2 linked regions of the Mus musculus genome follow. The protein of the gene in region 2 purifies or fractionates together with the protein of the main gene of each other region. This does not show direct contact. Links are inferred from orthologs where the notes say so. Each region holds a gene or a part of one and is shown on either strand. Other genes may lie near its edges.

Region 1 (3,656 bases), on a different chromosome or scaffold from region 2:
ACACATGAAATGTGTCTTACCTAATATCAGAGAGGTCACACTTGTTCCCAGCAATCGCCATCACAATGTTTTCTGGGCCGTGCTCCTTCAGCTCCTTGACCCATTTTTTCAAGGTATGAAATGAATCCTAACCAAAAAACAAAATGAGTCACTGAACAATCCTGTCGGTATACTTCAAAGAAGTAGAGATGTGAATCCAGTGTAATTCAATGGAGGAAAAAAAGACATTTTGTAGGGGTTAACATTAGCTAAGATGTCTCTTTCTCTTTTTTTTTTTTAAGATTTATTTATTTATTATATGTAAGTACACTGTAGCTGTCTTCAGACACTCCAGAAGAGGGAGTCAGATCTTGTTACAGATGGTTGTGAGCCACCATGTGGTTGCTGGGATTTGAACTCCGGACCTTTGGAAGAGCAGTTGGGTGCTCTTACCGACTGAGCCATCTCACCAGCCCAAGATGTCTCTTTCTAAATTAAAACTTGAGGGAGTTGAAAACCAACATGTGTAACTTTCTTCAGTAAGAACCACTGACTAGAAATATTAGCCTTGACTCTGTAGGAGCCAAAATCTCAGAACCAAACAAATACCGAGGCCTACTTCAGGAGAAAGGTGTGTGTTCGGGTCCTGCTTGCCCTTCACTCGACCCTCCTCTAGGGCAGAGGCCAAGTGGTCAGACATTTTGGGGAAAAAGGTCAGAACTCATGGACTACACAAGCAGCAATGATCCAGCTACCAGTCGGCATTCCAGAGGGACTGGGGCAGGAGGAACGCCATCAAATCGAAGCACTCGCTTGTTAATGAGTATACCTCAAAATCCATTCCAGGCAATCTCATCCACAGGCGATACATTCCAGGGTCCTCGGTGGACGCCTGACACACTACCTTGGAACCCAAGCCTAGAAACAACCTGTTTCTGTCCCACGCGTGCCTACGACACAGTTGAAGCAAACAAGTGGGCCGAGTAAGATAAAAACAGTAACAAAATAGCGTGGTCATAATCATAGAACACACTGTTTTAATTGTACCACTCGTTCCTAGAATTTTCCATCTAATACTTTTGGATGGAAGCTGACCTTGCATAGCAAGGACTACAGAAAAGCAAACCGCAGATAAATGGGGACAACCGCCTACAAGCACACACACACACACACAGTTACCTTTATATATACAAATATTACCTCTGACCTTTGAATGGTGCAACTGAACCTCCAACAGAAAATAGCCTATAATGATAAAACACCCGGGACTTAAAACTTTCTCAAGGAAAGTGTTCACCTGGCCTCCTGGTGAATGCTCAGTTTTAATGAGTGGCAAGGTGGCTCAGCAGTTAAAACTGCTGGCTGCTCTTTCAGAAAGACCAGGTTTGGTTCCTAGCACCTACATGGTGACGCGCAAGGATGCGCAAGTCTAGTTTCAAAAGATCCAATGCCCTCTCCTGACCTCAGTTGGGAACCAGACACACACGTAGCATATGATATACAGGCAGGTAAAACTACACATAAATAGAATAGATTTTGTTTTAAAAGATCAGCTTTCAAATGAATGTTTATTGCTTCCGTAATTGAAAAGATCAATCAGGGTGGCTTGGTGAGCGAAACGGGATGTGTAGCTTTCAGCTTTCTTGCCTGCCACATGGCCGAGGCTCCCAGGGCACTGGCAAGAATCACAAAGCACCAGTCTGCTTCAGTGTTTCTGGGACGGTCACCAAGCAGGGTGTCTGAAGCTGGAGACATCCTTACCTGCTTAGTGATGTCATAGACGATGACGGCTGCAGCAGATCCTCGGTAGTACATAGGAGCCAGGGAGTGGAACTGTGGAAGAGCAAGCAGCAGTCTTAGGCCTCGGTCAACAAACAGATTTTAAGCATCCCTAAGCCACACATTAAAATGTTATGCCACATCATCTCTGTAGGAGCTCGAAATCCCCCCTTGGACTTCTCCAAGACTTAAGATTAAATAATAAATTTTGCTCCCCAGCTAGCCATACACTTGTGGTTTATGGACCGTGAAATCTCCTCTGGGCCAAAAGCCAGAGACAGATTTATTTTCAGTGTTGCCTTCCTCTGAATTTCCTTTTCTCTGTTGGTCCAGGGCAGTCTCATTAGAACTCTGGAGTGGTAAGGAAAAGACAGGTCCCTAGGAGAGCTCAGAGCACTAGACCCTTGCAGAGCTACTGGCACGGAGCAAAGACCTGCCTGGTTGCAAAGCTTTATTGCCTACCAAGGTCAGCTAGTGGTGACACATTAGATGGGCTTCAGCCCCCAAACTAGGTTAGGAACCAGAACCTCTCATCCTCAAATAAGATGGATAATTATTCTCTGAATGTATACACTACATGCATATTTTGAATGGGGGCCTAGTCTTAATTTGTATATATATATTTTTTATTTAAAAAGCTTTTGGGATAGGCCAGTGAGTGAAAAAGAGCTCAGTAGGGAGTTGAAGAAATGATAAGTACTCACTACAAATTACCAGCAAATGTTTACACTTACTCAATTAACAAAAGAATGAACTAAAAATGATGAGGTGCTTAATAATGCAATAAGCGTTAAAAGGCCTTAGATTCAATGTTGGGGTGGTTCTGGGGAGCAAGACACCCTCAACTACTACACAGGGTGGTATTTAGTGCTTCCCCACAAAGCCACTGGGAACGACCTAGCAGAAACTGACATGTGCAATCCCTTTGACCCAGAAGTCTACTTACAGGAAATATATACTTAGTGTGGCCACCAGGTCCAGAAAGATATTTCCCTATGTTGTAAAGGAAGTAAAAATCAAAGACCGTGAAGGTTCATCGGGGCACTGTGTTATATCCTGGACTGAATGTGTGCTCCACACAACTCCAGGGTTGAGATCCTGATCATTGTGATGGCTTTTGGGGGGGAAGATCGGGGGTGTCATAGGTCATGGGGTCAGATGAGGTCATGAAGAGAGTCTCATGATGGGATTAGAGTATTTCACAGAGAGGAAGAATGTCCCCTCCACACCCTGTATACAAGGATACAGAAAGAAGAAGGCTGTCTGTAAACAAGGATCTACCTCAGCAATGGATGTATAAACTACTAGATCATTCCCCAACTGTTAGTGATAGAAAGTCCAGTAATTTTTACATTTAAAATGTTATACATCACACAATAATTTTAAGTAAGATGATTTTAGGTTAAAATGGCAATAAGGGCCAGTGGGATGGCTCAGCAAGTAAGGGCACTTGCCACCAAGCCTGAAGACCTGAGTTTAACCCCAGGAACCCACATGGCAGAAGCAGAGAACCGCATCTCCACAGTCTCTGACCTCTAACTGGGTCTAACAGAGTCTAACTGGTCTCTAACAGAGCCACATGGTCCCCACCCCCACACAACATAATAAGATATTTCAAAAAAAAAATCTGCTATTTTTATTGGGGCATAAAGGAGGGAGAGGAAAGATGATTCCTGTAGTTTTTCTGGCGAACAACAAAACTACCCATTCTCTCTCTTTCCCACATGCTACTTCTCGTTGGAATGCTCAGAAGACCTAGGGAGAAGCCAGGACGCCATGGTCACAAACAAGTCTCTCTTTGAAGGAAAACCACCCTGGAGTTCGGTAGCTTTTAAGAAATGGGGTGAGGGAGAGTCTGTCACACTCTTCTGCCCACAAACACCATACCGGGTCTCACA
Region 2 (2,334 bases):
GTCAGGTAGGCCAGGCTGTTATGCATCTCTTCTCACAAGAAATCTTAGGGCTTCTTGTGACATTTTGTTACAGAATCCCTGCGGCTTGGATGGCTTGAGCTCTTACCTTGTTCATGAAAATGACAGTTTGAATGCTGTTTACATGTTGGGTTGGGAGCAGGAGCATGTGGGCCAGATTCCTGTCTAGCCTCTAGGAACTACTTTTTGTGTGTGGCCATTTTCCTCTGGTACATGTTAACCAATTGGCTTCCCATGGTCAGACATCTATGTGTGCATGATCTCCTATGCGCACAACGTGGCCGCACAGGGCAAATACATCGCCATTGCCAGCACCACTGTAGAGACTGCAGAACCAGAAAAGGAAGTTGAGCCTGCATTGGAGCTGTTGGAACCCATTGACCAGAAGTGAGAGGCTGAACCAAACTTTATGGGGAGGTTGGGGATTAGGAATGGGCAAGGCCCATTATGAGACTTTTCTCTTCTTTCTTTTCTTTTATTTGCCCCTTAGGTTTGTGGCTATCAGTGATTTATATGAGCCCATTGATGATGGTTCAGAGAGTCAGGTAAAAATGCTGTCCCAGTCAGCCTTGGTTCTTGCAGTCTATCCAAGATCCTCTGCCTGACTTCCGTGAGCCCTGGGGTTCTGTCTATTTACAGGTGTTCTGTTCCTGCTCCTATGATGCTACCACACACTTTGAGACAACCTGCAATGACATCAAAGATATCTACAAACGCATGGCTGGTTCTGCCTTTGATTTTGAGAACATGAAGCGCAAACAGAATGATGTCTTTGGAGAAGCTGATCAGTGATTGCTGACTCCCCTCCTCCAGCCCCTGTTCCCCTCTCCCCAACTTGTATGTCCTTCTCTAGGGCAGGGGAGATGGTATGGCTAGGCATCCTTGTTTCCAGCATCTTCTGCTTCCCCTACCACATTCCAATCACCCACCTTATTGATTTTATTCACTGACCATATCCTTAACCTTAGGGATGGTTTGGGAGATGGGAGTTGGATAGTATCCTCTTTCTTGGTCTGTCCTTGTTCTAGGGAAAGAGAACTTTGTGTGTGTGTGTGTGTGTGTGTGTGTGTGTGTGCGCGCGCGCGTGCGTGTGTGTACGTGTGTGTACGTACGTGTGTGTGCGTGTGTACATGTGTGTGCATGTGTGTGTGCATCGTGCACCCCCAATTTTGCTGTTTGGGAAGGAGTGGAGGAAAAGCTGACCCCCACCCCCACTGCTCTTAGTCCCAAATGTAGTGGCCTTTGGAGATACCCATCTCCTCCCCCAACTCTTAGGTGTTGGAGAGAAGGGACCCTCCCAGCACAAAATTGCATTCCTCCTCCTCCTCCTCCTCCTTATAATTTATTCTAATTTATTAACTTTGGAGTAATTGTCTGAGCCCTCAGCCTTTCTGTGCAGCCTAGGGCTGTAGAGTGAGCTGCCCTGGCCTCTCCCAGTGCTGGCAAAGCCTGGGATGGGAGAAGATTTAGGTGTGACCCCCTCTGGAGGTTGATCTGTTTTGAATTTCTTTTGTGTTGTGTTCACTGAGAAAAAGTAATGTGAGCAAAGCAGAAGGAGGTAGGAAAGTGGATCCAAACCCCAGTGTACCCTGCCCCATGCCTTTTCCTTTAGTGGTGGGAAACCCTTACCTTGCAAAGTGAATGTGTCCCCTTCCCCAAGCTCTAGTATATTTCACAGAAAACAAAAACCTCCCAATAAAACTATTGAAACTTAAGCCTGGCTCTTTAGGTTCTCTGCTTTAAGGCTGTTTTGCAGGACTGGGGCAATTTAGCTTCTGGACTAGAACTGTATCCGCAAGGATCAAGGCAGGTGAAGTAGGTCATCTGGTGTTGGACGGGTCATCATTTACTAGTGGTTTCCAAATCAGAAGTCAGTGTGGAGGTTTTGGGTTCAAGGCTATACTGACCTCTCCGAAGCAGAATAGCACAGGTGAGATGGTTCAATGCATAAAGATATTTTCTATGTGACCCTGAGTTTGATCTTTGGAGCCCATGTAAAGGTGGAAGGAGAAAACTGATTCCACAATATGACCTCTGCACATGTTCAGTGGCTTGTGCACAACATGTAAACAAACACATTTAAATTTTTATGTGTATGGCTATTTTGCCTAGGTGGGTGTGCACAACTTGCATATCTGCTGCCTGCAGAAGCCAGTATCTCCAGGAATTGGAGTTACAGTCAGTTGTGAGCTATTTGAATGCTGGGGATCGATTCTGGGTACTCACCATTGCCTGAGCCATCTCCTCTGCCTCACACAAATTTTTAAAGGAGAGGTATCAGGAGTCTCAGTCCTGGGGGAGCAAAGGGACCTGGAC

Evidence for each region. The genes of interacting proteins can lie anywhere in the genome.
Region 1: the proteins of Gdi1 (region 2) and Rab31 purify together in Homo sapiens (co-immunoprecipitation; 3 studies listed by BioGRID and IntAct, counting the BioPlex papers as one, with this or other methods). This does not show direct contact. The link is inferred for Mus musculus from reciprocal best matches to the Homo sapiens genes GDI1 and RAB31.

Annotation. Positions count from the first base shown.
Region 1 is NC_000083.6:65,696,251-65,699,906, forward strand, and holds part of Rab31 (ras-related protein Rab-31), read right to left. Parts: intron 1,813-3,656; coding exon 1,741-1,812; intron 128-1,740; coding exon 21-127; intron 1-20. UniProt on the Homo sapiens protein: The small GTPases Rab are key regulators of intracellular membrane trafficking, from the formation of transport vesicles to their fusion with membranes.
Region 2 is NC_000086.7:74,310,130-74,312,463, forward strand, and holds the end of Gdi1 (rab GDP dissociation inhibitor alpha), read left to right. Parts: coding exon 1-5; intron 6-260; coding exon 261-405; intron 406-508; coding exon 509-563; intron 564-657; coding exon 658-810; 3' UTR 811-1,738; downstream 1,739-2,334. UniProt on the Homo sapiens protein: Regulates the GDP/GTP exchange reaction of most Rab proteins by inhibiting the dissociation of GDP from them, and the subsequent binding of GTP to them. Promotes the dissociation of GDP-bound Rab proteins from the membrane and inhibits their activation.